Linked DNA regions of Saccharomyces cerevisiae S288C. Changing the gene in region 1 together with any one later gene gives a genetic interaction. Each region holds a gene or a part of one and is shown in the gene's direction. Other genes may lie near its edges.

Region 1 (17,623 bases):
TGAAAAAAGACGGTATTTTCTTGATCACTTCTTGTAATTTCACACAAGATGAACTAGTAAAGATCATAGAGACTGATAATTTGAAAATGTGGAAAACAATAAAATACCCTGTTTTCCAATTTGGCGGGGTCCAGGGTGCGACCATATGTAGTGTAGCATTTGTTAAACAAAACTGATTTGTTTTTATCTTTGATTTATTTTTAACGTTATTTCTCTTTACTTATTTAGGAACGGATTTAACTATAATGTTATACAATTCATCCGTGGTTTCCTTCTTACCAGTCTTTATGGCGTACTGTGCAGGATCACCGTTATCATCTACTGCTAGTAATCTTATGAATTTTTCGCTTTGCAAAGAACCTGTAAATCCTTTTTGCACAGTGAACCCCTTGACCAGTTGGATGTTTAAAATGACTTTTAAGATACCACGAGACCTCATAACAATACGCGTCTTCTCGACGTCGTCCTTACTTTTATTGATTTTGATGATACCAACACCTCTTTCCTTCCAGCCTTCTTTTATGTTGGAAAGTTGGTACAGCTTCGCATTGACTTGATATATGCACTCCTCAGACTCTTCACCAGACTTGACTTCCTGTTTCTGCAATTTGAGGGGTTTTGGTTTGTCTTTTGTATCTTCTGAGGCATTCGCTAGTTGTTCAGATCCACTATGGACTTTATCTTTGTCAACATCAGTAGCTTTCTTTTCACTTTCAGAGTTATTTTCTGTTTTGTTTTTCAGTATGTTGAAGCCGCTGCCAAATGATAAACCTGAACCAAATGCAAATGGCTTCTTTGTTTTGCTGTCAGAGGCTGGTAAACTTTCAGTACTGGTAGTTGCATCTCCATCTTTCGTGTCCTTTTTGGCAACACCAAACCCAGTTCCAAATTTAGATGCGGCACCAAACACGAATTTATCCTCCTTTTTGTCATCTTCCACAATACCAGATTCTACGGTCTTTCCGTCGTCAACCTTGATCTTCTTATGCGATGGTTCTTGGTCTTTTTTACCTTCCTCCTTTTTCTCCTCATCATTTTTATTGGGTGCTTCTGATTTGTCACTCGTTTCTTCCGCTTGTTCATCCTGATCTTTTTCCCTCGGTCTCTTAGGAGTTCCATCTAGTTTATCGATAGGATTTTCAACTGCAGTTTGTTTCACCTCAGAATTTTCCCTGGCTGCATTGCCACCATTGGTCTCACTCATGCTCTCAAAGTTTATGCGTACTTGTTTTGTGCAAATTGATTTGTTGACATTTTGGTTTGAGTAGCAACTGAGCTTTTTAAAATCCAGGCATTTATATCTTCAACCTCGCCAAACAATGTCAATTTTTTTAAAAAAAAACTCAATACCTACATCACCGCGAAATGCCTGAAGTAAAAGCATATAACAAACGCGACCCTTAAAATTACGTATATATATGTATATTTCTTTATACTAAGTTTTACTGGGCAGAGTATCATACAGTTCTTCTATCCGATATATAATGAACGATAGGTGTGACACCACTGACTTGAGTAATTCTTTCCAGCCACGCAAGCAAGACACCCCCTTGTTTCTGGCCCTGAGGTACGGACATTCCTTTGTAGAGATACTTTACCAGCACGTCCCTCTGAGAATCACTCAAATTTTTGATTACATTACCAATATCGGCTTGCCTGACTTGTGTCAATGCTTCAAGGACGCTCTTAAAATATTGCTCCTTTGTTGGAGCATCTGCACTGTATGGAGGATCGGTTGTGAGTAATTGAACGGCTCCCAAAGAGTCACCACTTGTGGCAAGCGAGCGCAATTGATTCATTCGAGGTTGTAATTCTTGTAATGTGACAGTAGTTTCGTATGGTGGTACCAGATCGGCAGCGGTTAGTCTGCCACTCTCTGGATCAAATGCATCGATGTCAATTCTCCTCCAATCGGCTTCCATTGCTTGATCGTTCGCGTGTGTTGTGTTGAGTCTTCTCTGGTCTCCTTTGCTATAGTATCTTGTGTTAAATGCGGGCTGTTTTTCTCTTATTTTGTTATAGGGGCAAAGTCTGAGAAAGGGAAAAAAGTATCCAAATTAACTGATGTGCGGGTAATCATAGACAACAAGTAGCAGAGTTTAAGTATTACTTATATTCAATAGTCGGGCGCTTCTTTGGGAGCTGGTTGAGACTCTCGAGTCCGTGAGTTTCTAGATTTATATACAGAAGTAACAGCAGCAGTAGGAGTGGCGGCGGAGAGCAATGGCCTGTTTCCACGGTACCTCGCGTCCAATGTGGAACTGCCGTATCTATCAGCGCTATATGCGGAGGAAGAAGTTTCCCTGCGTGGCAGCCTGGGAGCATAATTTCTTTCGGCGGGATTTGATGTACTTGCGCTTGCAAACCTTCCTGGAAGCCTGCTGTCTCTGTTGGAATAGCCTCTGCCTCCTAGGCCGCCGCCCAATCTTCTTGGCTTGAAATATTTAACGGTTCTGCCTCTTTCTATGTCGACTATGCAGATTCTGTCTTTGATTTGGATACCTCTGTGTACTCCAATCTCCTTGAATGCCATTTTACTACTTATTGGGTCTTTGAAAACTATGAAGGCGTAGCCTTTACTCTTCTGGGTTATCTTGTCCTTGACTATCCTAATTTTTTCGATCTCGCCAAACTTAACAAAATACTTTTGCAGTTCAATTTCGTCAAGATCGTATGGTAGCCTCCCAATAAATATCGTTCTGTAGGGATCTGTGTCCTTGATATGAGGGTCAACGTTAGGATTCCAATTTTGTAGTCTCCGGTCTAACAATTGAGCATTTTTGATCTTGGAAAGTTTGATGTCTTCGTATCTTTGGAGATGGTTGTTTGGAGATCCTTCAGGAAACTCCTCCATATAGTGCTTCAAAGAGGTTGATAGTAAGTTTGCAACGCCAGTGATATTTGGATTTGTTTGTCTCTTCGCATATGGGTAATCGGTTGGTCTTTTGTAAGATAAAGGTGGCCTTGGCTTGAAAAGTCTCGACACGTCGTCTGGATACTTGGATAGATTATAATTCATCAAGGTTGAGGTGCCGATTACTTTTTTAAGGTTTCCTTTCGACAGTCGATGACCGTGCTGTGTGTCATTATCTTGCAGTTCTTTTTTTCTTCAGATGCGTTAATTTCCTACGAAGGGCGCATACAATGGTGCTGATGGGATTTATGAGCAAAACAAGTAGGCGAGCAAGACATGAACGAAATTGTAATGAAGCGTACTTCCTTTTCCCTACAACCTTAAAAAGGTCTCACTGATATATCCATTCGCAATAATGACAAGATTTTTGCATGGGACTTCTTTTTTTCTTTTGAATAAGTCGCGTTATAAGGACAAAACATTAAAAAAAAATATGTATTGATTCACTGATTTATATATACAGAAGTAAGTACCGGGGTACCTAAATATACGCATAAAAGTCTCTTTCTTTTTTTTTTTTTTTTTTTTAGCTTCCTACATTTCGTTAATAATATTATATAGATTATATTTATATTTAAGAAAAGTAATATCAGCATATTATGAATAGACAAAAAAGTCTAAGGTCAAGATTTATTAAATGTTAGATTATTAAGATTACAATTAACAACATTTGTTGTTACTTCATAAAATTTCGTTACTTCATAAAAGAACTACAGTCCCCCACTTCTAAATGAGTGGTTGTAGGGGTTCATATACCTCCCATACTGTTGGAATAAAAATCAACTATCATCTACTAACTAGTATTTACGTTACTAGTATATTATCATATACGGTGTTAGAAGATGACGCAAATGATGAGAAATAGTCATCTAAATTAGTGGAAGCTGAAACGCAAGGATTGATAATGTAATAGGATCAATGAATATTAACATATAAAATGATGATAATAATATTTATAGAATTGTGTAGAATTGCAGATTCCCTTTTATGGATTCCTAAATCCTCGAGGAGAACTTCTAGTACATTCTACATACCTAATATTATTGCCTTATTAAAAATGGAATCCCAACAATTATCTCAAAATTCACCAACTCTTCACATACATACCTGCGGTAGCAAGATAGGTACACTTTTTCTACGTTTCACGAAGGTAGCGATAGGTACCTCACTCATTGTAGGTGCGGGGGTAGCGATGGAGGTTTCTGTACCATTACCACCACAGCCACTATACTCACGTAGTGAAGTCCCTAGCGTGGAATTGTGTGGTATCGTTGCTATCTGTCGTTCGCCACCCTCGGTATATCCAACGTGCAGGCCAATATCACTCTCTAAGAAAATCGTATCAGGATTGGTACGGACAAACTCTTCATAGCCTACGTCGAAATCAAATTCTGCTAAAGCTGTGACTGTAGTTAAACCTAAAACCGCGATTATTGCTTGAAAAACTGTGGAGAAATTCATGATGGACGGTCACGTTCAGGGTCTGAGAAAACCACTCATTCCTATGTCCCATGTGGTTGGTTGCAATTTGCTGCTATATATACGACTTGGCTGTAGAGAGATCTACGTAGGATGTGTCCACTATCAAGGGGGGTTTACCAACGTTATCTTCTATTTTAAGTGCTCAAATGAAGGTTGCATTATATCCCTGGCAGTTTTCCCGGCAATTTTGCCGGCCGCTTATAATAGTCATGGTGAAAGGATTGTTGCTTGTTGTGGTTGCAACATGACAGTTGCCTACTAACTAAATAATAATCAAAGTCAGTTTCTCAACAATGGAAAACCTGTTGTGACCTTATCGAAGTAACAACATCGTATAATAATTAATCTGGAAAAAATACCATAGTTACTGCCGATACAGGTCTACGTGACTTACTGACAAACAGACTGAGTGACTACGAGTCCAGAAATTTAGTATACCATATTGTCGCTTCTTCTTATAGCCCAGCTCCAGGTCTGGATACGGTTCTGTATAACTCGTTAAGGTTTAAGTGTCCGGCAATTTTTTTGAAGTTTCATTTCTTCACTCGATGACCAAGCCGTGTGCCATCTTTTCGTTTTCTTTTTTTTCAATGTGTTTAATTATCTACAAAGAGGGCACACACAATAGAGCTGATGAGAACCCATGAGCGAAACAAGTAGAAAAGCAAGACGTAAACGGAATCATGGTGGTGTGTACATTTCTCTTTTTTTATTACACCAAGAAAGCTTAATTGGTACGTATTGTTCGTGATAGTAGCATGAATCTAGCGTGGAATTCTTTTATTTAAGGTCGCGTTGTGACGACAAAACATTAAAAAAACCACATGTGTTGATTTGTAGACTTGTATACACTCCAGTAAGAAGGTGCACACCAAAATACATGCGCATATAAATTATTTTATATAGCATGCTATATTTCGTAAATTCATAAAATTTCGTTAATTCATAAAAACAGCTCCCCAAACTTAGATGAGTGGCTGCAAGGGTTCTGTCTTGTAATCAACATCTACCATTGCGCCATCGTGTTTACATACAACTTCGACAGACACCTTGAATTTCTTGGCGTTCAACTCCGTTTCTTCGCCATAATTCCAAACAATCCGGTCAAAGGATTCCTGCTTTTTCTTATCGTGGAATTTCAATTCTGGCTTGTTGATAGCGGTTTTGATGTCCTTTAGCAGGTGCTTCTCAACATGCTGGTGTAAATGGCGAACAAACTTCTTAGAGTGCGAATTGGCAGTCTCTTTGATCTTTTCCGGATCATCATGCGCATCATGCAGGACAAAGGGTGGATAGTACTTCAGTTGGCAATGGACATGGTCGAACTCTTGATCTTCCGTCTCACCCTTTAAATATGTTTCAAAATCATGCAAATCCTCAAAAACCTTTAAGGACTCACCACTTTTTGTAGTGATGGTGGACATCTTAGGACCCTTTGCTTTCTTATCCTTTTTCGTCATTCTTATTATTTAAAATACTTTGTTATATACTGTACGTTGTTTCGTTTGCACTTAATCGTGTTTCGACAGATAGGTGAATCAAGATCTACCTTTACGCGAAAGATACGAAGAATTGAGAAGGAGGTGCAAGGGAAAAGGGCAATAGAGGATTGGGACAGCCGATGCTTATATACGGACGATTGCCAACCGCCGAAAAGGTTCAAGCCAAGAACAAAAAGTAGAGAGAATACCCCAACAATAGCATTTGATGGCTAAACGGCAGTGCCCGTTAATACTATTCAAATTATACCCCGCATTAATAATTCCTGTCCCTTTAGTCTCGTCCTTCAGCCGTATAGCCGCAAAACTTCGTTCAATGATTTCATGCCATCATTACACCGCGAGTCGTGGGTGCATTGTAGTTTATTACGAAAAGTATCTACAATACTTGCTTAAATAACCTACATTGTTTTAGGCACTATGGCCGAGTGGTTAAGGCGACAGACTTGAAATCTGTTGGGCTCTGCCCGCGCTGGTTCAAATCCTGCTGGTGTCGTTATTTTTTTATTTTTATTTTTTTTTTATCGCTTACTGATTATCAGATATCTTCGACAGCCTCACACAGATTGGTGATCACGCACCCATAATCATTTCTTCGGGCATGCTCCTATTAGCCACGGTTCGCAGAATAATCTGCGCGATGTTATTCACCAAGACCGTGGAGTCTCCTTTTCGGTGGGATCCGCTTATATCCGTATGCGTCGGTTGCTTTCTCGGGGAAAGGAAAAGGAGAAAGCCCGGATAACACGACACAAGAGTCATTCGTTATGCACGGACACAGGGAATCGTGCGGAGCCGGGGATAAGAGGCCGTGCTAATTTCCGCGGAACATCGGAATGCAGTGGACAAGTGCCCTGAGAACAAGCGGCGGGCGGGTAGCTGCCACGGAATAGGCGCCACGTTTCCGTGGGTGACTATGACTTTTGATCGATTCCATGTTGTTTTGCCCTGAATTCTGCGCCCCTCGGAGAAGTTTCTTTTCTTTTTTATCTCTTTTTCATCTCTGACCTTCGTTTCCTTTCATATAGACTACGCAGCAGAATCATGGCAGGAGCTATTAGCTGAGTGGGCAGATTACGTTTGCGCACTGTGCATTGTGACAGATTATATTTGCTTCGCTTCTCCCTCTTACTTCTTCAGCATAAGTGTAAGCCATATGTTCCCTGAAATCTTTCTACCGTCGTCTTCTCTTTTTTTTTTTTTTACTATAAATCAATGTGCTCTCTTCCATGATTCTTGCCTTTTGGATCTTCGGTACTTGTGTGGGTGAGAATGGTGTTATTGAGTCAATTCAGGTCAGCTTGGTTCAGTTCTAATCTAGCCCTTTCCCTACTATACAAATACTACTAGCCTTTTTTTTTCTCTCTCTTTCTCTATACCACTACCTCTTCCTCTTCCTTTTTTTTCTCTTCTTTTTCTATTGTCCCCATCGCATCTTAGCATAAACGCATCCGCATTCCCTTCCTACATTTTTCTTTTCTACTAGTTATAGCTTTAAAACCTTCTTTATTCTCTTTCTACCTATTCTTCTTCGTTGCTTATATCCTATACACATATGAACGGTCCTCCAACATTCACTCAATATAGAATAAATAAGTTTTCTGGGAATGGAGCAACTCATAAGATTAGAGAATTACTCAATTTTAATGATGAAAAGAAATGGAAACAGTTTTCGAGCAGAAGGCTGGAGCTGATAGACAAATTCCAACTAAGTCAATATAAGGCAAGCGAACAAGATCAAAACATAAAGCAGATTGCTACAATATTAAGAACGGAGTTTGGATACCCTGTAAGCTGCTCTAAGGAATTCGAAAAGTTAGTCACTGCTGCTGTGCAATCAGTGAGAAGGAATAGAAAACGATCAAAAAAACGCTACGCTCTCAGCATAGCCAATGGCAGTGGCGGCAATGTCAACAACAGCATCTCGTCAAATTCTACTTCTGACGACGAGATCTCTCCGTCGATCTACCAGCGCTCCAATTCGGACTTCCTGCCTAGTTCTAATTATGCTGCAGATTTCCAGTTTTCAAACAAGTTCCAGCCTCTCATGAGTCACCAGAGTCATAACGGAACCATTTTTCCAACCGTGGGCACCCAAAATGACTCATCTCCATCGGTTACTTCGACCCAACAAAAGTATAACGATATAGTCACCATGCTAGTGCACGATCTTGTTACGAATGTCGTACCCCTATCAGAACAAGCTCTCAAGGACCCATATACTGGGCCAAACCTGTCACATTTTGCTACGTCTTCACTCAGCCAGCAACCTAACATTACCACAAACATCCCGATAGATTCTACCGTGCCATTTTTCCTGAGGGAAAAGTTACTCCTACAAATCCAAAGATCAAGAACTTGTCAGGACATTTCGCAGGCTGCAGGATCCATTGATATATACGCAAATCTGGAGATTTTGGGTGAAATGTCAATCCGAATGTCTATTGCATTCGTTATCGAACGATTTTTCTCCAACTTGGTCTCTTCTTCAATGAAGTATATCACTGCCAAGACGTGCTCTCCTGAAAATCTGGCTTTGTTGTCTCAAAGACTGTTCGGTGCCGCTACAAGACATAACTTATCTCATTTCCCCGCGGCTCAGGTACAACTAAGGCTACTGTATTTGGTCATAGGTGGTATTGTCAAGGATTTTGGCTTCGACCCCACGCTTTACCCTTTAAGTGAAATCATACATCATATTGTGATGGTTCAGTATCCTTTGGCTAGTTCCTGTGCGTCAGAACCACCATCATCTTCACCTAACAAGAGGGTTAAGAGAAGCCCTCCTGTCGTTTCAAGTGACGTTATGTTGAATAATAATAACACTCTATCGAATAGAGCTACACTTTTAACTACGCTACCAATGAAGCCTCAATCGGCCAATAAAGATGTTAATCGCAGAGTGATCATTAGATTTAATGATCGCGAGCAAGCCTTTACTTTCCACCAGTTGAGCAATGGACCACCCACGGTGTCTGAAGTTTTGGAAAACTGTAAAAATTTATTTAATATTATCAACAAGAACAAGAATTTTGGTATTTTCCATAACGATAACCTCTTGAACGATGAAAGTTTGGCAAAGTTATTTGATTCCTTTTCCACGAGCGAGATTCATCTCGTAATTAAGGACATTTCCACCATTCCACTACAAGATGCAAAAATACCAGTGCCCATTACGTTGCCCAAAATGTCATGCATAGGTGAAAACCCCTCTATGCCTTCTATTCCATTGGTACCACAAGAAAAAGATGATCCAAAAAAATCAAGCTTAACTGCCTTTGATAACATCCTTAATAGGATCTCTAAATCGCCAATGAATGAAGAAAATAGCAACACTACTTTAAACACTGGCACCTCCACCTCCAACACAAATAATAATGACCACAACGAGTCTGTGCCAGCGCCATACGTTACAAAGAACAAAAATTCTTTTCAAAATGGCAATTTACCACAGCCGGTTTTCCAGCCTTTACTTTGATAAAAATACAAAACAAAATTGTCTACATACATAACTGCCTAATACACATTCTACACAATATTTTTTTCTTTTTCAATTCGCGTACATATTTATGTAAGATAAAATAATAATATCCTCTTAATCCATGCTTAGAACTGCTGCCGTTGATTTTCAAATTCATCCTCGTCAAATGGTGGCAGTTCCATTACATGAATTTTGTACCCCAGTGAATATTCCTGGTCTTGTAAGGATTCGAACGTCAAATCAGACAGCTCTTTATCGTGGAACCCAACAATGGCATTATACACAATTGTGCTAACTTTAAAGTATTTCGCCTTGCTATCACCTTCGGAGTCAGAGACGTTTCCACTTTGTGCAAAAGTAGTTGGCAAATTTCTATTAAACTCCTCTAATTCATCTTCCGGTAATTCAAACCTCAGTAGAGTTGCTTCTTCATGATCTTCATAAACCCCTACATAGAATTCCCTTGTATTATTGATAGATGTTCGAGGTCCGCCATTTGTGTATGTGCTATTATTTGCACTCCCGTTGGTGTTCTCATTTTCTGATATCTTTAGAGCGTCCATAGATTCATTGAGTAAAGATGCTTCGTTTTGTTGCTGTAGAAACTGTCTTTCCTGTAGTCTTAATAGCTTGGGGCATTTCAGTTTTATAAAATCTTTTAGAACTGTCCATCTTAGCCTTCCAAATTTTTCCAATTGTCCTTTCTCTTTAATTTCAATAACTGTGAACTTCTCTTGGTTCATTAACTCATTGAAATCAGACTCTGATAATTTCTCCAAGAATTCTATAGGTATATAGGGTGGGAAATTTATGATCTTCAGCTGCCACATACCTCTATTCGTCATTTGTTTTCTAAAGCTTTTCTCGTTAAAGATATGCTTTAATCTTTTGTGATTTATTTGAGTTTGTGAAGGTGTAATTGTTCCACCATTCTTTGCTTGGAGGGCACGGTCATCACCATTCGTACTTGTAGTGGGAATATTACCATTATTATTGGAATTTGAGGCCATGTTCAAGTTGTAAAGGGCAGATATTTCGTTATAAGAGGGATTTATCTTATTGTTCCTTAAGGAGAGGTGATGCTGCTGAGAAAGACGAGGGCCTGTGCCAGTATCTGGATTCCTGGGGCTATTATGCATGTATTTTTGAAACTGGCTTTGGTTCTGGTGATAGAAATGCCGACGACGGGGATAGTGTGTAGGGGAAGCAAGTGGACCACCAGCAGTAGCAGCAGCTGTTGGTGAAGGTAGAGTAGTTTGATAGGGCATCTGCATATTAGGTACCGTTCCCGGAGGAGCACCCAACATAGGTAGCATCGAAGTCGAAAATGGACCATGAGGCGGGGGAGCAAGAGGTGGCACACCAACAGGTACGGGAACAGGCGTGGGCAATGGCGTTATGTTCTCATTCTTTCGAAGGCTCACTTCAGGAGAAAAACTGAAAAATTGAGAAGGTGGGGTAGAAGCGGATGGTGGCTGCGGTGTCACAGATGAAACATGGCTTGCATATCGAGGAGAAATAGATCTTTTAGTTTCATCGGGAGCACTCCGGACGTCATTGTTGCTATCACTGATTTCTGGATATCGCAGTGAAGGAGAATCATTAGTGTACGGCAACAGGTAAACGAACAGATCATGATAATCCCATTGGTAGGTGTTCAAAGTAAGTAGTAAGTTTTCCAGGGACTCGTTATCTATCGAGTTCTTCAGAATGACAATGCAACTCTGAAAAGTAATAAAAGGAGGAACCATGGAAGTCATTGGAGGCAGCATTTTCACCTGTAAAATATTGGTATGGTATATGATTCCGCCTATCAAATATTTTACCTGGGCCCAAGTCTTGCCCGGAGGGAGATTATCAATCCTTATGGGAATACCATTTGACTGCGAGTACGTCTTTTTCCTAGGAGCAGCTTTTGTGCTTGCTGTTGAGCTTTCGGTCGCAGAACGGGCAACAAAGGCACTGGCTGAAGCAGCCGACTTGGCACTATAGTGTGGTTCTAGAGTCATTATAAAGCAAGCGTATTGTAAGGAGAGACAGCAAACTCTCGTGTATCAGCCAACTGAACTGGAGGCCAAGACCAATCTAAAAAAAAAAAAAAATGAAAGAAACAAGTGTGGGAGGAAGTCTTGTTAACTTAACAGTTAAGCAAGCGTAAAAACCTTTAGGAAAGCGCACGAAAGAAGGCCAACATTACGACTATGGAATAATACAATGCACACAAACAAAAGGTAACATTTGAAAAATGGAGTAGAGAATATATTCCATTCCCCTAATTTTTTGCGGGTCTTCCAGGGCTGCGAACCCATCGCTCAAAACAAGCGCAGTGTCAATTAAGACATCATTGAACTAAAACGGAAAATTTGCTTGCGCCACACACCCTGGTCAATCGTACCAAGGGATATCACTCTGTACGGGTGGGAGGAAGGCGCGGCAATTAGAATGTGTGGGTGCGGAAGCTCGCCGCTCCCATCAAGAGAGTGGAAGACGTATGGTCTGGGTGCGAAGTACCACCACGTTTCTTTTTCATCTCTTAAGTGGGATTCTTACGAAACACGTCACAGGGTCAAAAGAAAGAGAACAAAAGCAATATTGTAATTGTCTCAGTCCACGGCAATGACATGGCATGGCCCCGAAGGCTTTTTTTGTCTGTCTTCCTTGGGTCTTACCCCGCCACGCGTTAATAGTGAGACAAGCAGGAAATCCGTATCATTTTCTCGCATACACGAACCCGCGTGCGCCTGGTAAATTGCAGGATTCTCATTGTCCGGTTTTCTTTATGGGAATAATCATCATCACCATTATCACTGTTACTCTTGCGATCATCATCATTAACATAATTTTTTTAACGCTGTTTGATGATGGTATGTGCTTTTATTGTTCCTTACTCACCTTTTCCTTTGTGTCTTTTAATTTTGACCATTTTGACCATTTTGACCTTTGATGATGTGTGAGTTCCTCTTTTCTTTTTTTCTTTTCTTTTTTCCTTTTTTTTTCTTTTCTTACTCTGTTAATCACTTTCTTTCCTTTTTGTTCATATTGTCGTCTTGTTCATTTTCGTTCAATTGATAATGTATATAAATCTTTCGTAAGTATCTCTTGATTGCCATTTTTTTCTTTCCAAGTTTCCTTGTTATGAAACGTTTCAATGTTTTAAAATATATCAGAACAACAAAAGCAAATATACAAACCATCGCAATGCCTTTGACCACAAAACCTTTATCTTTGAAAATCAACGCCGCTCTATTCGATGTTGACGGTACCATCATCATCTCTCAACCAGCCATTGCTGCTTTCTGGAGAGATTTCGGTAAAGACAAGCCTTACTTCGATGCCGAACACGTTATTCACATCTCTCACGGTTGGAGAACTTACGATGCCATTGCCAAGTTCGCTCCAGACTTTGCTGATGAAGAATACGTTAACAAGCTAGAAGGTGAAATCCCAGAAAAGTACGGTGAACACTCCATCGAAGTTCCAGGTGCTGTCAAGTTGTGTAATGCTTTGAACGCCTTGCCAAAGGAAAAATGGGCTGTCGCCACCTCTGGTACCCGTGACATGGCCAAGAAATGGTTCGACATTTTGAAGATCAAGAGACCAGAATACTTCATCACCGCCAATGATGTCAAGCAAGGTAAGCCTCACCCAGAACCATACTTAAAGGGTAGAAACGGTTTGGGTTTCCCAATTAATGAACAAGACCCATCCAAATCTAAGGTTGTTGTCTTTGAAGACGCACCAGCTGGTATTGCTGCTGGTAAGGCTGCTGGCTGTAAAATCGTTGGTATTGCTACCACTTTCGATTTGGACTTCTTGAAGGAAAAGGGTTGTGACATCATTGTCAAGAACCACGAATCTATCAGAGTCGGTGAATACAACGCTGAAACCGATGAAGTCGAATTGATCTTTGATGACTACTTATACGCTAAGGATGACTTGTTGAAATGGTAATTTTCTTTTATTTTTTTGATAAAACTACTACGCTAAAAATAAAATAAAAATGTATGATTTCCCTCCATTTCCGACCAATTGTATAATTTTATATCTGCATGACTTAATAATATAATATAATACTTATAAAATACGAATAGAAAAATTTAAACCGATGTAATGCATCCTTTTCTTTGTCGTCTTCGGATGATCTGCCGTGACAGGTGGTTCGCGCAAATCAAGCTGGTTTAGAGAATTTAACACAGAAATAAAAAAGGAAGATTCAATCTTCGTTTTTGTTTTATATCTTACTATAAAAGTGTTTTTTTTTAGTACGACGAGAAGTTAGAGTAATTATAAAAGGAATGCTTATTTAAATTTATTTCTTAGACTTCTTTTCAGACTTCTTAGCAGCCTCAGTTTGTTCCTTAACGACCTTCTTAACAATCTTTTGTTCTTCAATCAAGAAAGCTCTGACGATTCTTTCCTTGACACAGTTGGCACATCTGGAACCACCGTAAGCTCTGGAAACAGTCTTGTGGGTCTTGGAGACAGTAGCGTATTGTCTTGGTCTCAAAGTGGAAATACCTTGTAGAGCACTACCACAGTCACCACACTTTGGTCTAGTAGCCAACTTCTTAACGTGTTGGGCACGCAAGATACCACCTGGGGTCTTAACAACCTTGATTTTGTTAGAACGGGTGTTGTCTGTACGTAGTAAAGAGAAAATTTTCCCATTAATGTTAGTAATCACTTCTTTATTATCCTATGATTTAAGAACTTGAGTGGGATTGCTCCATATGAAAAGTATTTCGGCGTTGCTGAATGAATATTATCTCATTTCAATCTTTCAACAGCGGAGAAAAATTCATTTTCCATTTGGGTCGACCAAGGTCTTCCACTTAGAAACTGAAGTCAACTTATTGCTGTCCACATTACTGGATACTGTTCGTTCATGCTGTCTAATGTTTTAATGTCATGCCAATATATTTGAAAGTTCTTGCATAGTTGATTCCCCTATCGATGATCTGGTTCTTCCTATTTCTAAGTGGTACGCTTCTCTAAATAGCACTCGTTCGCCTTTTAACCTCATTTTCCCACAATGAAAGTTCAAAATAAGTTCATAATAAGTTCATAATAAGTTTTCATGAAAACTCAAAAAAATAGTTCAGTAACATACATGGATTTCTTCTTCTGAAAGTAACACGTTGAGCCATTTTTAGGGTTGTTCGTTGCTAATCTATTCTCAGTTTCAATCAAAGTAAATTGAATCAAAAGAATATAACAAGTGCCAAATACTATGTACTACCCGTTATTTACTACTTACAACTAATAAGTTCATCAACTTTTACGTAGAATGCTATTGAAACATTCCAAACTTACCCACCAGCTGCGATGAAACGGCTCCTGAGAGCCCGTTACCATACCGTCTGAACGGGTGCTGGGGCCACTGACAGGAAGAGGAAGAGTTAGAATTGTTACTGGCTCCTCCCCCAGGCGTCAATTCCATCTCCTCCCAGAAGGACGGTCTCTCTGCCCAAAGGAATGAACTTTCATGGGAAGGGACAAATGAAGCGGACTATTGTCGGAAGCGGGACCTCCGAAAGCAAATGAAAGTAAAAATTCAAAAATTCAAAAAAAAAAAAGCTGAAAGGAAAACACCCAAACAACACACGGTATGTGACGACATCTGTACACCGCAAAGTTGTGACGAAAACACAGTCACAGTTTTTTAGAATTTATGATTAGAGTGTTCAAGAAAATAAGTTCCAACACGTAATAGGTTTCTACCCCTGTCTTGTAACATTGATACAAGTAGAGGGAAACTCCCCTCACATTTTCTACAACGGCAAGAAACTGATTCTGAAACTCCGTAAATTCGTTTCTTTTCTTAGTTAAAATCTTATATACGCTAAAGAATGCTACTAAAATGTTTATAAATGTACACTCCTCGGTATCGCAAGTGGAAAAAAGGCAGTAAAGAAGTTTCAATCCTTCAATTCTTTTCAACAGCGATAACTTCCATTTCTAAATCAACATTCAAAGGTAAGGAAGCAACACCAACACAGGATCTTGCAGGCTTATGGGTGTGGAAGTGTTTGGCGTATACAGAGTTGAATTCGGCAAAGTTTTTCATGTCAGCCAAGAATACGTTGACTTTGACTATATTGTCTAAAGAAGAATTACTTTCTGCTAAGATATTCTTAACGTTTTGAAAAACTTGTTCGGCCTTCTCAGAGATAGAACCTTGAACAGGCTTGTTATCTGGAGTATAAGGGATTTGACCAGACACGTACACAAAATTGTTGGCCTTCATAGCTTGGGAGTAAGAGGCGGCAGCGGGTGGGGCCAACTTGGTGCTGACCGGGGTCAATGTTGTTATACCCCTCCTCAAGACTGGAGCTGTTCTCAAAACGGAATTTCTTAAAAACATTATTGGTAATATATTTGTGTGTATGTGTTGTCCTTTTTACCTGTAAATCTCACACAATTTACTAGCTAACCTAATTCTTATGCATGTGTAAGACCCATTTAGTCATATGTATTTATATATATCAGGGGATCCATACGGTGTGTTTTTCGCTGGATGAGCGACAGAGGCGGAATCGCATCTCCGCAAATGAGAGCGTACACAGGAGCAAAGTGAATAACGTCCTTCAATGATAGAGACTTATCCAATAAGCAGCACTGGTCTTCTAAGATCACCGCCTGTGCACTTTTCTACGGGCTCTTTTAATTGTATAACATGGACAGTGATCATTGCATTTTGCATCCATAGGCATACTATGGCTTAAGGTATTACTATCTATCGCGCCTAATCTCTGGGAGTTTTGAGGCCGGTTTCGGAATCTCGGTATCTTGCGATGGGTCCAAAACGGTGTAAACAAAGCAGGGGATAGCAGCGCAGGCTTCAACATCTCAAACCTTTATATATACAAAAAGTATATCTATATATTCATCTACGGTTCTTAAAATAGTACAACAAAAGTTAACAGACATTAATTACTGTAATCAGACTAAAGCAAACCGAGCTAGAACGAACGACTGCTTACACTAGAGAAAAATATGGAGCTAAGTTCACCATCAAAAAAAACCACAACATCGCCAATAAATATACCAGGGGGGAATAGAGATAACCTAATAATCGGACCACATTCTCACAGCTTCAAGACCGATCCATTTTCAAGTAACAATAGTAGTTTGCTGTCCAAAATATCTACTAACCCCAGTTTGGAAAGCCCTTTCTCTTCGAAATCTTTACTAGATTGTTCTCCTGTACAAGCTGTAAAGAAGTCTTTAGAGTCGGAAGCAAAAACGCATAGCCTGGACGAGGAGACAAATGAACAGACTGATGTAAAGATCTTAAACATAGCAGACTTTCCCACAGATGAACTCATACTAATGATAAGTGCGCTACTCAACAGAATTATAACAGCAAACGATGAAACTACAGATGTCTCACAACAAGTGTCGGATGAGACCGAAGACGAACTCTTAACTCCAATCCTTGCTTTCTATGGAAAGAATGTTCCAGAGATAGCTGTTGTTCAGTACTTAGAGAGAATTCAAAAGTACTGTCCCACCACAAATGATATTTTTCTTTCTCTCCTTGTATATTTCGATAGAATCTCCAAAAATTATGGGCATTCTTCTGAGCGTAATGGTTGCGCAAAGCAATTATTCGTCATGGACTCCGGGAACATTCATAGATTGCTCATAACAGGTGTCACAATTTGCACGAAGTTCTTGAGTGATTTTTTTTACAGTAACTCTCGATACGCCAAGGTTGGAGGTATTTCTTTGCAAGAGTTAAACCATTTAGAATTACAATTCCTGATACTATGTGATTTCAAGTTATTGGTTTCAGTCGAAGAAATGCAGAAATATGCAAACTTGTTATATAAATTCTGGAACGACCAGTAGAATGCTGTCCTGCATATTATTCATGCCCTTCCCTTACCGTTACTCGTATTATACATATCAATTTCTGATTTACGTAACGCGTACATATCGGTTATATTTAAATAATTTAATATTCCTTTTAAATCAGTGGTTTTTCATATTAGTAGCATTTCTCCTGAAATGATAGCTATTGCAATAGAATGAAAAAAAAAACTTTTTGCCCAAATAAATCATAATCTACCGGTAAAGAGAAATTCGGTCCTTGTTCTATTCAGTATTATGCTTTCTCTTTTTTTTCCAAAATGAGAATTAAGGACGTTTCGAAAAAGTAAAAATATACCAAATGTGGAATATAAATAGGTTTATCGGCGGACCGATCTGGCTTAAAACGTAGAATCTACCAGTCCAATGTAC
Region 2 (16,573 bases), on another chromosome or scaffold:
ATATAATTTGTAAAATTGGAAGTCATTTCGTCAGTTTTTCTTATACCTTTTTCCAAGAGGTCCAGATCACTGCCTTTAGTAATTCCCTCGATGTAGTGATTCGGCCTTTCGTTAATAGTTCCATCGGGGATAATGCCAGCATCATCTATGGAACTTCTCCCCTCCTTTATTTGAGTACTCAGAAGCCTATTAAACATGCTTACGTTCGTTGAATGGCATTTCAGCAGAAACCGTAGACCATTTTCAGAAACTCGTAACATAACTTCAGGATATATCAAAGTAAAAAGCAGCTCCTATTAATTCAAATTATTAGCTCAATCCTATAGCAACGTTTCTCAAGTTTAATTGTTTTGAAGGTTTTAGAACCTTTTTCACATTATTTAGTCCGTCGAAACATCTACTCTTTACTATTTATGGCTAAACAGGCTGAAGGGTATGATTTCTTTTCTTTTCTTTATTCATGTCGGGTAAGAGAAGGTCACTTGACCTATGATGTGGGGGCAAATAATAACGTGGGAATAACAAGCGCGCTACTGGTAAGTGAAAAACTAAGATAACAGTTGAATTTCGTGTTTAGATGCTATAGAGAGTCTGGTACAGCATTGGCGATTTAAGACTTCTCTAGTCCACATTTCTTAAATTCAAAATCACAAGCGCCTGTTAACGATCATTTTATAATCTACGATGTGTAAATGCAAAAAGTGCTTTCCTCCCTCTTTAGTTTGGACAGGGATAGTGGGTAAACGAGTAGCATTATGAGTGCATACATTGCCAGAAAGAAACCGCAAAGCGGCATATCTTTTTTCTTCTTTCTGTTGTAAGGGATGCTTCGTCACGTAAAATGGCCGCCGGAGTGAGATGTCACAGATTACATCAAAAGGTCGGCGTATACTGGATAAGAAAATCCGAACTTTTCCGGTGGGCTTTACCAGCAGAAAAGTGGCCGGGCATGTATTAAATATATCACCGTATTTTCTGCTGGCTTTTTCTTATGCAGAGAACAAAGGCCAGAGTGCCTTCGAGGAAATTAAAGGGAGCAATGTGATAGATATGTCCTGTGTCATTTGCTTCAATTTTTCCTGCCATTTATTTGTAGTTATATTTATATCTAGATCAACCGAAACTATACCAACGACGAAGCTGCTTCTTAGTAAATATATTTTCTACTGTGTCAACGCATTGGAACTGACATTGTTCTTATCCTATAAGTCATACAGTTGAATTTGTTAATTCTTTACTAGAAGTTGGGATTTTCAGCACTTATGTCACCGTGTTATGGACAAAACAGTGCCATCGCCAAGGGGTCTTGGAACAGAGAGGTTTTACAAGAGGTGCAACCGATTTATCATTGGCACGATTTCGGGCAAAACATGAAAGAATATTCGGCATCACCCTTAGAGGGGGATTCCAGCCTGCCTTCCAGCCTGCCTTCCAGCACTGAGGACTGTTTACTACTATCATTAGAAAACACAATCACAGTTATAGCCGGAAATCAGAGACAGGCTTATGACTCTACGTCGTCTACTGAGGAAGGTACAGCACCTCAATTACGGCCGGATGAAATAGCGGACAGTACACACTGTATCACGTCATTAGTTGATCCGGAGTTCAGAGATCTTATTAATTATGGACGTCAAAAAGGAGCAAATCCTGTATTTATTGAGAGCAATACAACAGAACAATCCCATTCACAGTGTATTCTAGGCTATCCCCAAAAATCGCACGTGGCACAGCTATATCACGACCCCAAAGTACTCAGCACAATTTCCGAAGGGCAAACAAAAAGAGGAAGTTACCACTGTTCTCATTGTTCTGAAAAGTTCGCAACGTTAGTTGAGTTTGCCGCGCACTTAGACGAATTCAACCTTGAAAGACCGTGTAAGTGTCCCATAGAGCAATGTCCCTGGAAAATATTGGGTTTCCAACAAGCAACTGGTCTGAGAAGACATTGTGCTTCCCAACATATAGGAGAGCTTGATATAGAGATGGAGAAATCATTAAATCTAAAAGTAGAAAAATATCCAGGACTGAATTGCCCATTTCCTATCTGTCAGAAAACGTTTAGGCGCAAAGACGCCTATAAGAGACATGTGGCCATGGTGCATAACAACGCTGATTCAAGATTTAACAAGCGTTTGAAGAAAATTTTGAACAATACCAAATAGTTGAGGCATTAAAAATGTACCCCATGAAACTCTTGTTAAATTTGTGCAGGCATGAAAGCTACTGTATTTTTTCTTAAAGTAATAAAAATAAAACACAATGATATTAAAGAAAACGCATGCAACTATGGACACTTGCTATGTCGTGAATATGGCACCACGTTGGTTACTTAGCTAAATAAAAAATCGTAAGTACTCGCATTTTTTCTTCTATATTCACTTTGCTTCTTTGGACAGTTATTTCAATAATAAATATTTCTTTTTTTCTAATCTCCCTTATCACCTAAGAGGAAAAAGTTTGAAAATAAACTTATGGCTAGAGGTTATTTGGTATTCCGAGAAAACATTTGAAACTAGGAAGTTTACATATCAGTGCAATTATGTTTCCTTCGATGATTCACGTACCCTCAAAGTCAGTACCATAAAATTGAAAATAAGACAGGTGTTTTTTTTTTTTTTTTTAATCATACAAGAATTCAACCACTTAAGTAGGATATTAGCGCTTCTTGTGCCGAAAGTCTCGTAATTTCCAATTTATATGTTTTTTAGTTGCATCGCCCTGGTTCCACAAACCGTATTTACGAACCCTCTAGGTAATAGTATCTTTGGCAGTTCTTTTCCAGCTAAGATTTTTATGTTCTCACCGTTGGCGGTTATTTTTCTAAATACCCTCAATGAAAAACTCACATCGCACGCACATTTCCTGAAAATATCTTTGAGAAATATAGCAATCCTCGAGAACAATTGCAGGACAGGAAAAATATTAAGAAACAATAATCGCTAGATCAATCATTTTATGGAAAAAGATCTGTACAGCCAAGAAGAAGAAAAAAAAGAAGAAAAATGGCATTACTCTTTTGTAATTTTCTTGATGAATAATATGGGGGGACAATATAATAAATGCACACTATCTGGTTGAATAGACCAAAAAAGATAGCTTTCTTTTTCTACTTTTTTTCTTTTTTATATTAATTTTTTTCTTTTTTCACATTTTCAAGGTCAGCATTGTATTAAATCTATTCATGCCAGAAAGCCATTATTCATTATTTTTCAAATAGGGGTAGCGGCTTTTTCATCAACTCGATTATTACCCTTTAGAGACCTTCCCTAAAGTGAGCGGCAATTATTTCCGGATGTTAGTAGGGTAATATGGTTACGGATTTGTGACACAAAAGGGCTTTTCAACAGTCGGTCTGGGTTGAAGGATTTTCAGGATGACGAAGCTTTCAATAAGAGGGACTGGACTGTTAACGCGGGGAATTATAGGTTACTTTCCTTGATCTGGCTCTGGCTCTGGCTCTGATTTTGGCTCTTGTACTCCTCGGACTTCTTGACTTGTAACGAAATACGTCTTTTGTCCTTCTCTTCTTCTTCCATAGTAGGGGCGAATGAGGGGAGCATAGTGGATCCTTCTAACCATCTAGAATGGGGTGGACAACATATAAAAGAAGAGCAATCTTGCAGCGCAGTCATATTTATGCTAAGTATATCATTATTTCTTGCTAGCGTAAGTCATAAAAAATAGGAAATAATCACATATATACAAGAAATTAAATATGTCAGAACCTTCAGAGAAAAAACAAAAAGTTGCTACCTCATCTTTAGAACAATTAAAAAAGGCCGGGACCCATGTGGTTGCTGATTCGGGTGATTTTGAGGCTATTTCGAAGTATGAACCACAGGATTCAACAACTAACCCTTCTCTGATATTGGCTGCTTCAAAGTTGGAGAAATATGCGAGGTTTATCGACGCTGCCGTTGAATATGGTAGAAAGCATGGCAAAACTGATCATGAGAAAATCGAGAACGCCATGGATAAGATTTTGGTGGAATTCGGCACCCAGATTTTGAAGGTAGTCCCAGGAAGGGTTTCCACTGAAGTAGACGCAAGGTTATCTTTTGATAAGAAGGCGACGGTGAAGAAGGCTCTCCACATCATCAAACTATATAAAGATGCGGGAGTACCTAAAGAAAGAGTCTTGATCAAGATAGCTTCTACGTGGGAGGGTATCCAAGCTGCTAGAGAATTGGAAGTAAAGCATGGTATTCATTGTAATATGACATTACTGTTTTCCTTTACGCAAGCAGTAGCCTGTGCGGAGGCAAATGTCACATTGATCTCCCCATTTGTTGGAAGGATTATGGACTTTTACAAGGCCCTTTCAGGCAAAGACTATACTGCAGAAACTGATCCCGGTGTTCTTTCTGTTAAGAAGATATACAGTTACTATAAGAGGCATGGTTATGCAACTGAGGTAATGGCGGCTTCTTTCAGGAATTTAGATGAATTGAAGGCGTTAGCCGGTATTGATAATATGACTCTCCCACTGAACCTTCTAGAACAGTTATATGAATCAACAGATCCTATTGAAAACAAATTGAATTCTGAGAGTGCTAAGGAAGAAGGCGTCGAAAAAGTCTCTTTTATCAACGACGAGCCTCATTTCAGATATGTTTTAAACGAAGATCAAATGGCTACAGAAAAACTATCAGATGGTATCAGAAAATTCTCCGCAGACATTGAAGCACTGTACAAACTGGTTGAAGAAAAAATGTGATCATTAAGAGTAGAGGTACCTACTTATATATATAAATATATATATACCACTTTCCTTTTCGGTACTTAGTATTGAATTTGTTTGAGTATATGTGCATAGCATAGTGTACAGACTTATATATTCATTAAAATTCTGACGTATAATCAAATTCCGAGGGGTTCGTGAACAATTCTTCGTATCCCGCCCACTCTCCTTTTACCACTTTTGGATAGGTTCGCCATATCTTTCTTTCTGTCGGAACCGTCTCTGACTTTAGCTTCTTCGGTAATCGTGGCGTAATTACCTTGCGCAATATTATCATTATTCAACGCAACTTTTCCGGCTGTCTGCACTTTAGTGCTTGTGTTTGTTTCGTGTAGTTGTGGTGTCACTTCCTGAATCTTTTGGCTCCTTATGCTCGGTCTATTTGATTCATTTACCACATTAGTACTTAATATCCTCTTGGGCTTCTTGAAAGGCTTATTGACCTTCAGAGTAAGTTTGCTGATGTTGAATCCTCCCTTGGTGGCATTGTCCTCTGTCTGCTTGCGATTGGGAGTTGTGACTTTTATGTTCGAATGAACTTCTCTCGCAGTTGAGATATGATTCAAACTTGGTGCATTGTCTGAGATAAGAGGGCGTTGTTTTTGCACCGACAAATTTGAAGGATATGCCCTAACATGCGTTGCTGCCACTTGAATATCTCTATCGTACTCCTCAATAATATTTGAAATAATCACCAAAAACTGACTAAAAATCCTATGTTCTTCAATATCAAAACCTTCTGGATTTAGAATTGCTTTCAGCTCTTTTGAATTTATTTTAAATTCACTAGCTAACAAAACGTTATCCTTTTCCGTATAAAGCATGAATCTGTTGTTTAACTGAAAGTATTTCAGTCTACCATCGTGCCAGATTTTACGTTTCTTGTAAAGCTGATCAGTGTATTGGCATTCATACTCAACGATATGAGAGAGCATACTCTGTCATGCGATCCTTGGGGATTTCTTCTTTCTGGTGTTCGTGAAATGGGCTAGCTTTGGCGTGCAGTTCAAATTGAGATTTCACATCGCGAGAAGCTCTCAAACCGACTTTTTTCCCTAAATAGAGACCAATTATAAGAGCAAATAACATGCATATAAGATTGAGGTAAAGAGATATTATCGCTATTCCAACGAATATGAGCTCTTGGTGTTGAGATTTTTCCCTTGGTAGTTTCAGGAGGCTACCATATATTATTACATTGTTTTCTGAAATCTATAACATGGGTGTCTAATTATATAGAGAGTAGCAGGAAATCTTCGACGAGTAAGTCCAGCATGGAGTTACTCTCTTATTATTCCCACACCAAATCCTATTCCTATGCTAGCAAAGATAGCTAACATCTCTATACATCCTAATACAAAGCACAATGTCCTGAACCATTGTACGTCAATGTCCCATTCAAACCCTTTGAGGAGGCCGATTCTATGTTCATAATTCATTATCATTCTCATTAATCTATAATTTGAAACGCCATTATTTCCATTGATTGAAAAGAAAAAGAATAAGGGCGGAACAAAAAGGCAGATGCACAGTGTAGTTATAACCCTTGGAATACTATAAATCTCGGAGAAGCCATATATTCGGGAATCAAATGAACGTATGGAGGAGGAATCTATTCTTTGAATGGGCATTGTTTCCATTTGAAAACTTAATTGCTGATCTCGATCAATTTCTTGAGGAATTTTTTTATATTGATGTTGCTTAATACTATTGTCACCTTTTCCGACCCCAGAAGCTAAACCAGCTTCTATATTACTTTCGTATTCCTTTTCGTGTAGTTGGTTTGGACTACGCATGGTGTCCATTGCGATACCAAGAGGGACTTGAGGATTAGGAATTTTCTCTAAATCAATTTCGTTGGTATTCTTCTGCCTTTGATCTTGCATTCGAGTTCCAGAGGTTTCATTAGTTGGATTATACTGCCCATTAGAATGCACTGTATTTTTTAAAACAGCGGAAGAACTTCGCTGGTCATTAGCAAGGTCAGCTGCTTCAAAAGGCTTTAATATGTCAATTAATAGGGAATGGTTTCTTGGGGTTTTGAGGCTAGTGGACTTATTCGCTGGTATTCTGTTCCAGGCCTTTTTAGGAATTTGAAATTCATGTGGGATAAACGCTTTATCGGGAAAAGTACCATTTAGCGTGCTGTTAGGAACTCTGCTTTTTGCTACATCAACAGCCCCTTCCACAGGAGAAACAAGATCTACACCATACCGCATAGAAGGAAATGAGTATGTACCTTGTGTTTGCCTTGTAGACTTATTTCCGGAGACGGTAGCCCTTGGTCCCTGGTACGGCGCAGTTCCTTCGGGTGGTGGATAGAATAAAGAAGAAGGTCTGGTTCCCAGTTTCTCGAAGGATTTCATTGAAGATGATTCCATATGATCTCCTCTGGTCGTCCCAGCGTGCTTTTCTGCCGAACCCATATTCAACAGCACCGAAGTAGAGATGGTACCGCTGCTGCTGTGTCCATTTAGGTTAGTTTCAGCGGAAGACCCGTTTGAGGAATTTCTGTTCCTCTCATTTGAATTTGGCGGAGGTAAAGGGAATGCTGCTACTTCTGGATCTCGTCGTACTAAATCTAAAATTGAATCCTCTAGATCTCTATGTGATTCCTGATGGAAATTGTCATCTCTAGCATCTTCAAAGACTTGTTTACCATCAGTACTACTTGAATTTGTATCTCCTTTGAGGATTTCACTATACTTGCTATCATCAATATAAACATTGTATGACTTCACTTCTGATGATGGAAATGAATCAGATCCTTCGATGAACAGCGAACCAGATCTTATTCTTGCTCGCGGTTGATGGAATATTGGGTGGTCGTTCTCAGGTAAAGATGCGGATGAAGCCGTTGCCGATCCAGATGTGGATTTTGAATTTTCTGTCGTTATCGAAACATCTCTGGTTATTTTCGTCATTTCATAGGATGAAGAATGAAATTGTTGTAAAAAAAAAGGTAGTGAACGTATAAAGTTGGATGCTGTCTTCGAAAAAAAAAATAAGGTGTTAAATGAGTGGATGGTTTGGTATGCCTAAGCAAAAAGCTTTAGAAATCAAATTGAAAAATAAAATCGAGGGGAAGCTGGAGATAAAAGTAAGGCAAATGTCAGATAAATAGTTGCAAGGTGAGAGTGTACTATAATCTTTAGTAGTTGTTGTATGGTGATCCTTCGTCACCGTTAAGAAATGGAGGACAATTAAATGGAATACTCTGGGACGTTACAAGGAATAATAGTATGCTAGAATGAAAAAAATAATGGAGTCCTTCTACGTGTCAATGTACGTATGTGGCAATTAAGATAAAACTTTATAACTATACCTTAACTATTCTTGCATATATAATAATGCGAGATAAAAAATCACCAACTTTCTCCCTTTTAGAGAAATTAGCTTTTAGACTACCTTGGCTGGGTATTAGTTGTGAATATTTGGTAAATATGGTCAACTAGAAAACGAATGCGAACATCTAGCCAGGAATAAACAAACCCAGTAAACAAAACTTCTACTTAATACTTAAGAATAGAAAGCACAATGCCAAGACTTACTTGGGAGCCCATTCACTGTTGAATAGTGCTGGATAAAAGGTGTTGATATCGCCTCTTTGATTACAGTCGCGTCAGCTCTCCAAGCACACGCGATGGCTGGTTTTTCTCTGCATTTCCCGTTTAGGCAAAGCAGTGAAGAGGCTCATGAAGCCGCATTTCGTGTACTTCTGCTGGCGAAAAAAAAAAACTTGTTGCCGTGGCGCCATTTCGTTCCTTGCATTTTTCCATTGGCATGCATCGTGCATATGTGAGTTGAAGTTTCTTACTTACATATTGACCTACAGACCACAACGTGTCACTGCTAAGCTGAATATAGGGAAATTTTAGAAGTATGGCAGAAATGTTCTTGTGAATACTATTCCATGGTCTTCATTAGTTCATCGTAAAGCATGTCTTTGAGCATTTCTATGGGCACTTCTTCCTCCTCTTCCGGACGCATTATCTTGTTATCCAGTTTCCAAAATTCATCATCCAAATTAAGTGGAGGATATTCCGGCTCATCACTTGGGTCATGGTACATTGCCAGGTAAGGGTGTCTTAAAGCTTCTGCTGCGCTTATTCTTTTGTCAGGATTGAATTGAAGCATTTTGTCTAGTAAATCTATCATATCTGGATTCAGATCGGTCTTTGACCAGACGGTCTCCCATGGCAAGGGTGGCCTCATAGGTAAGTTTGCTATATACTCTTTAGCCCTCTTGGATTTGATCTGATTAAAGTCTTCGAAAGATGGAGTTCCCAAGACTTCTAGAATTAGCCATAATTGATGATGATAGTCTCTGCCTGGGAACAAAGGCTTCCCGGAGACCATTTCAGCCAAAATGCATCCGCATGACCATATATCCATCGCAGTTGTGTACTCTTGAAAAGTTAGCATTATCTCGGGTGCCCTGTACCATCGCGTTGCGACGTACTCCGTCATGAATCCTACCAATGTTTCTCTTGAATCGCTACTGCTAGCTAAACACCTCGCTAGTCCAAAATCGCAGACTTTGAGATCACAATTGGAATTTAGTAACAGGTTTGATGGCTTTATGTCTCTATGGATAACTTGTGCACTGTGAATAGACTTTAAGGCTCTGAGGATTTGGTATGTAAAGTATTGAACATGGTCATCACTTAAAGTGGAAAACCCGCTATTCTGATTATTAATTACTTTTTGTAAATCGGTTTCCATCAACTCTTCGACTAAATAAACAGCGTTTAGTTTGTCTATGGATACTGGCCTTACTTTATCCAATATACTTATTATGTTTTCGTGTTCATGGAAATACCGTAAAAGCTTGATCTCACGTATAGTTCTTGTAACAAACAATTTTTTGCTAAACGGTTGTATTTTCTTGATAGCTACCTTTATGCCGGAAGGCTTATGAATTGCTGAACATACTGTTCCGTACGCTCCCTCACCTATTAAATCTACGAGTTTATATTGGGAAGGGATATCAAAAGTTATGGTTCTAGCCATCTTTGAATTGTTGAAAGAAAAGTGAAGAAAAGATACTTTTTTGTTGAAATAACCTTTTCTATCTTTAAAAGATGCTTTCTTTAAATTGCCAAATTTTTAGTCGGCTTTTGATCTGATCCAGTGGAAAAGAGGAAAAGAAAAAAAAATACGAAAACAGTTCGGGAAATTTAACGACTGCAAAGCACAATATGTAACTGTTCAAGTCTGGCTTCTGGTCAGATAAAGTGCAATATCTACAGATTGGAAGTACTTTGGGTGTCTTAATAAAAATACATTATATATAGAAATATGCCTCGATCTGTAAATTTCTAACAGCTTCACAGCGCGTTTTGAATGTGAAAAAATCAGGAATGTGGAGGAAAGATGTTCAAAAAGTTCGAATTTGAAGAGCATACTGCTCAAACGGTTGAGGAATTCAAGGTAATCTGAGGCTTCATACATAATAAGTAGCCAATCTTTCTTTCCCCCAAGTAAGTAGCTCAGTATTACTAAGCCGGTAAAAAATAACATCTTTCATTTCTTTCACCAAGGGGAAATAGTAATATACTCATATTTTGGCTGGACTCTCGTAATCTGTCAAATTTTTTTCGTGCCGATTTCTAACTTAAATTTAGTAAATAATGTTAGTATTTACTTTTCAATTGTAGATCTACCTAGTTTCAAGATTATGTAGAAAAGAATGACAAAACATAAATACTGTTGGAATAAAAATCAACTATCATCTACTAACTAGTATTTACGTTACTAGTATATTATCATATACGGTGTTAGAAGATGACGCAAATGATGAAAAATAGTCATCTAAATTAGTGGAAGCTGAAACGCAAGGATTGATAATGTAATAGGATCAATGAATATTAACATATAAAATGATGATAATAATATTTATAGAATTGTGTAGAATTGCAGATTCCCTTTTATGGATTCCTAAATCCTCGAGGAGAACTTCTAGTATATCTACATACCTAATATTATCGCCTTATAAAAAATGGAATCCCAACAATTACATCAAAATCCACATTCTCTTCATGGTAGCGCCTATGCTTCGGTTACTTCTAAGGAAGTCCCATAAAATCAAGATCCGTTAGCCGTTTCAGCTTCCAATTTACCGGAATTTGATAGAGATTCCACTAAGGTTAATTCTCAACAAGAGACAACACCTGGGACATCAGCTGTTCCAGAGAACCATCATCATGTCTCTCCTCAACCTGCTTCAGTACCACCTCCACAGAATGGACAGTACCAACAGCACGGCATGATGACCCCAAACAAAGCTATGGCCTCTAACTGGGCACATTACCAACAACCATCTATGATGACGTGTTCACATTATCAAACGTCACCTGCGTATTATCAACCGGACCCACACTATCCGTTGCCACAGTATATCCCACCACTGAGTACTTCCTCACCTGATCCAATCGATTTAAAAAATCAACACTCTGAAATACCTCAAGCTAAGACAAAGGTGGGAAATAACGTCTTACCACCACACACTTTAACATCAGAAGAAAACTTTTCTACATGGGTTAAATTTTACATCAGATTTTTGAAGAACTCTAATCTCGGTGACATCATTCCAAATGACCAGGGTGAAATCAAAAGACAAATGACTTATGAAGAACATGCGTATATATACAATACCTTCCAAGCATTTGCCCCATTTCATTTATTGCCAACATGGGTAAAACAAATTTTAGAAATTAATTATGCTGACATCCTTACAGTCCTTTGTAAAAGTGTGTCCAAAATGCAAACTAACAATCAAGAATTAAAGGATTGGATAGCTCTTGCCAACCTTGAGTACGACGGAAGTACATCTGCTGATACATTTGAAATTACAGTCAGTACGATCATTCAGAGGCTAAAAGAAAACAATATCAATGTTAGCGACAGATTGGCCTGTCAACTAATACTTAAAGGTCTATCCGGTGACTTCAAATACCTACGTAATCAATATCGTACCAAAACGAACATGAAACTTTCCCAATTATTCGCTGAAATTCAATTAATATATGACGAAAATAAAATCATGAATCTAAATAAACCGTCCCAATACAAACAACACAGCGAATACAAAAATGTTTCTCGCACATCTCCAAACACGACTAACACAAAGGTTACAACTCGTAATTATCATAGAACAAATAGTTCAAAACCAAGAGCAGCAAAAGCTCACAATATTGCTACATCTAGTAAATTCTCAAGGGTGAACAATGATCACATTAATGAATCAACCGTTTCATCACAATACTTAAGCGATGACGACGAACTTAGTCTTAGGCCAGCAACAGAAAGAATCTAAGCCAACACACACAATAGACTCGAATGACGAACTACCTGATCACCTTCTTATTGATTCAGGAGCTTCGCAAACGCTTGTCAGATCAGCCCATTATTTACACCATGCAACACCCAATTCTGAAATAAACATAGTCGATGCTCAAAAACAAGACATTCCTATAAATGCCATTGGTAATCTTCACTTCAACTTTCAGAACGGCACCAAAACATCAATAAAAGCACTACACACACCAAACATAGCCTATGATCTATTAAGTTTGAGTGAGCTGGCTAATCAAAATATTACTGCCTGCTTTACCAGAAACACTTTAGAAAGATCGGATGGTACAGTACTAGCTCCCATAGTCAAACATGGAGACTTTTACTGGTTATCTAAAAAATACCTAATTCCTTCGCACATTTCAAAGCTAACAATAAACAACGTCAACAAAAGCAAAAGCGTAAATAAATATCCATATCCGTTAATACATCGAATGCTTGGACATGCTAACTTCCGAAGTATTCAGAAGTCTCTTAAGAAGAATGCAGTTACATATTTGAAGGAATCGGATATTGAATGGTCTAACGCTAGCACATATCAATGTCCTGACTGTCTAATCGGCAAAAGCACGAAACATAGACATGTCAAAGGATCACGACTAAAGTACCAAGAATCATATGAGCCTTTTCAGTACTTGCACACCGATATATTTGGTCCTGTACATCACTTACCGAAAAGTGCACCTTCTTACTTTATATCGTTTACAGATGAGAAAACCAGATTCCAATGGGTGTACCCATTACACGACCGTCGTGAAGAATCTATCCTCAATGTTTTTACATCGATATTAGCATTTATTAAGAACCAATTCAATGCTCGCGTTCTAGTTATCCAGATGGATCGTGGCTCCGAGTACACTAACAAAACTCTTCATAAGTTCTTTACGAACAGAGGTATTACTGCATGCTATACAACCACGGCAGATTCTAGAGCACACGGTGTCGCTGAACGATTAAATCGTACTTTATTAAACGATTGTCGCACACTGCTTCATTGCAGTGGTCTACCAAATCATCTATGGTTCTCAGCAGTCGAATTTTCTACTATAATCAGAAATTCATTAGTCTCACCAAAAAAACGATAAATCTGCAAGACAACATGCAGGTTTAGCTGGACTGGACATTACTACTATACTACCTTTCGGTCAACCGGTTATAGTTAACAACCATAATCCCGACTCGAAAATACATCCTCGTGGCATTCCAGGTTACGCCTTACATCCGTCACGAAACTCTTATGGCTATATTATCTATCTTCCATCATTAAAAAAGACAGTAGATACTACCAATTACGTTATATTACAAAACAAGCAAACGAAATTGGACCAGTTCGACTACGATACACTCACTTTTGATGATGATCTCAATCGTTTAACAGCCCATAACCAATCTTTTATTGAACAAAATGAAACAGAGCAGTCATATGATCAAAATACAGAATCTGATCATGACTATCAATCGGAGATTGAAATAAACTCTGATCCTCTAGTGAACGACTTCTCGTCCCAATCAATAAACCCTTTACAATTAGACAAGGAACCAGTCCAAAAAGTACGTGCACCAAAAGAAGTTGATGCCGACATATCTGAATACAATATTCTTCCATCTACTATACGATCTCGTACACCCCATATCATTAATAAAGAGAGTACCGAAATGGGTGGTACCGTTGAATCAGATACTACTTCACCTAGACACTCGTCTACCTTCACTGCACGAAACCAAAACCGACCTGGTAGTACCAATGAGATGATTGATTTGACCTCACAGGATAGAGTTAATTATGGACTTGAAAACATCAAAACTACACGTTTGGGTGGTACGGAGGAACCATATATTCAACGAAATAGTGATACAAATATCAAATACAGGACTACAAATAGTACGCCCTCAATAGATGACCGTTCGTCCAACAGTGAATCCACTACTCCCATCATCTCCATAGAAACAAAGGCTGTATGTGATAATACACCCTCCATTGATACGGATCCGCCAGAATATCGATCTTCTGACCATGCGACTCCTAATATAATGCCTGACAAATCCTCAAAAAATGTTACGGCTGATTCTATTCTTGACGACCTCCCACTTCCTGACTTAACCCATAAATCTCCTACGGACACTTCTGATGTTTCAAAAGATATTCCACACATACACTCTCGTCAGACTAATTCCAGTTTGGGTGGTATGGATGATTCTAATGTTCTGACTACTACCAAAAGTAAGAAAAGATCATTAGAAGATAATGAAACTGAAATTGAGGTATCCCGAGACACATGGAATAATAAGAATATGAGAAGTCTGGAACCACCAAGATCGAAGAAACGCATAAATTTAATTGCAGCAATAAAAGGAGTGAAATCGATCAAACCAGTTCGAACGACCTTAAGATATGATGAAGCAATTACATATAATAAAGACAACAAAGAAAAAGACAGATATGTTGAAGCTTATCATAAAGAAATTAGCCAACTATTGAAAATGAACACTTGGGATACAAACAAATATTATGATAGAAATGACATAGATCCTAAAAAAGTAATAAACTCAATGTTTATATTTAACAAGAAACGTGATGGTACACACAAAGCTAGATTTGTTGCAAGAGGCGACATTCAACACCCCGATACATATGATTCTGATATGCAATCCAATACCGTACATCACTATGCACTGATGACGTCACTGTCAATCGCATTAGACAACGACTATTATATCACACAGCTGGACATATCCTCTGCTTACTTATATGCTGATATCAAAGAAGAATTATACATAAGACCTCCACCACATTTAGGTTTGAATGATAAATTACTACGTTTGAGAAAATCACTCTATGGTTTGAAACAAAGTGGTGCAAACTGGTATGAAACCATTAAATCATATTTAATAAATTGTTGCGACATGCAAGAAGTTCGCGGATGGTCATGCGTATTTAAGAATAGTCAAGTAACAATTTGCTTATTCGTTGATGATATGATATTATTCAGCAAAGACTTAAATGCAAATAAGAAAATCATAACAACACTCAAGAAACAATACGATACAAAGATAATAAATCTGGGTGAAAGTGATAACGAAATTCAGTACGACATACTTGGATTAGAGATCAAATATCAAAGAAGCAAGTACATGAAATTAGGTATGGAAAAATCCTTGACAGAAAAATTACCCAAACTAAACGTACCTTTGAACCCAAAAGGAAAGAAACTTAGAGCTCCAGGTCAACCAGGTCATTATATAGACCAGGATGAACTAGAAATAGATGAAGATGAATACAAAGAGAAAGTACATGAAATGCAAAAGTTGATTGGTCTAGCTTCATATGTTGGATATAAATTTAGATTTGACTTACTATACTACATCAACACACTTGCTCAACATATACTATTCCCCTCTAGGCAAGTTTTAGACATGACATATGAGTTAATACAATTCATGTGGGACACTAGAGATAAACAATTAATATGGCACAAAAACAAACCTACCAAGCCAGATAATAAACTAGTCGCAATAAGCGATGCTTCATATGGTAACCAACCATATTACAAGTCACAAATTGGTAACATTTTCCTACTCAACGGAAAAGTGATTGGAGGAAAGTCGACAAAGGCTTCGTTAACATGCACTTCAACTACAGAAGCAGAAATACACGCAGTCAGTGAAGCTATTCCGCTATTGAATAACCTCAGTCACCTTGTGCAAGAACTTAACAAGAAACCAATTATTAAAGGCTTACTTACTGATAGTAGATCAACGATCAGTATAATTAAGTCTACAAATGAAGAGAAATTTAGAAACAGATTTTTTGGCACAAAGGCAATGAGACTTAGAGATGAAGTATCAGGTAATAATTTATACGTATACTACATCGAGACCAAGAAGAACATTGCTGATGTGATGACAAAACCTCTTCCGATAAAAACATTTAAACTATTAACTAACAAATGGATTCATTAGATCTATTACATTATGGGTGGTATGTTGGAATAAAAATCAACTATCATCTACTAACTAGTATTTACGTTACTAGTATATTATCATATACGGTGTTAGAAGATGACGCAAATGATGAGAAATAGTCATCTAAATTAGTGGAAGCTGAAACGCAAGGATTGATAATGTAATAGGATCAATGAATATTAACATATAAAATGATGATAATAATATTTATAGAATTGTGTAGAATTGCAGATTCCCTTTTATGGATTCCTAAATCCTCGAGGAGAACTTCTAGTATATCTACATACCTAATATTATAGCCTTAATCACAATGGAATCCCAACAATTACATCAAAATCCACATTCTCTTCAAATACAAGGACTGCAATTATACAATATTAATATAAATCTACATATAGTTATTTTTTTATTTCCTTTCGTAATATGAATCAGTATTTATATTTAGCCCCTCCTCAGTCTTTTGTTTCCAAAAAACGTGAAGCAGAAGCTCTTGTTGTGACTATTCGAAAA

Evidence for each region.
Region 2: mutations in VHR1 (region 1) and NQM1, at least one of them in a single copy, are lethal or impair growth when combined (synthetic haploinsufficiency), as found in Saccharomyces cerevisiae (one study listed by BioGRID).

Annotation. Positions count from the first base shown.
Region 1 is NC_001141.2:242,541-260,163, forward strand, and holds VHR1 (Vhr1p), read left to right. Parts: upstream 1-7,450; coding exon 7,451-9,373; downstream 9,374-17,623. Other genes in the region: EFM4 (Efm4p), read left to right, coding at 1-176; YRB2 (Yrb2p), read right to left, coding at 221-1,204; ARC15 (Arc15p), read right to left, coding at 1,458-1,922; U1 snRNP complex subunit SNP1, read right to left, coding at 2,117-3,019; YIL060W (uncharacterized protein), read left to right, coding at 3,852-4,286; YIL059C (uncharacterized protein), read right to left, coding at 4,010-4,375; RGI2 (Rgi2p), read right to left, coding at 5,362-5,856; YIL055C (uncharacterized protein), read right to left, coding at 9,502-11,385; YIL054W (uncharacterized protein), read left to right, coding at 12,003-12,320; glycerol-1-phosphatase GPP1, read left to right, coding at 12,575-13,327; and 4 more. UniProt on the Saccharomyces cerevisiae protein: Transcription factor that binds to the VHRE consensus sequence in promoters of VHT1 and BIO5, and regulates their biotin-dependent expression.
Region 2 is NC_001139.9:568,582-585,154, reverse strand, and holds NQM1 (sedoheptulose-7-phosphate:D-glyceraldehyde-3-phosphate transaldolase NQM1), read left to right. Parts: upstream 1-3,718; coding exon 3,719-4,720; downstream 4,721-16,573. Other genes in the region: TAM41 (putative phosphatidate cytidylyltransferase), read right to left, coding at 1-260; YGR045C (uncharacterized protein), read left to right, coding at 859-1,221; RME1 (Rme1p), read left to right, coding at 1,263-2,165; MTE1 (Mte1p), read right to left, coding at 4,864-5,679; BUD9 (Bud9p), read right to left, coding at 6,025-7,668; mitogen-activated serine/threonine-protein kinase KSS1, read right to left, coding at 8,651-9,757; YGR039W (uncharacterized protein), read right to left, coding at 9,956-10,267. UniProt on the Saccharomyces cerevisiae protein: Transaldolase is important for the balance of metabolites in the pentose-phosphate pathway.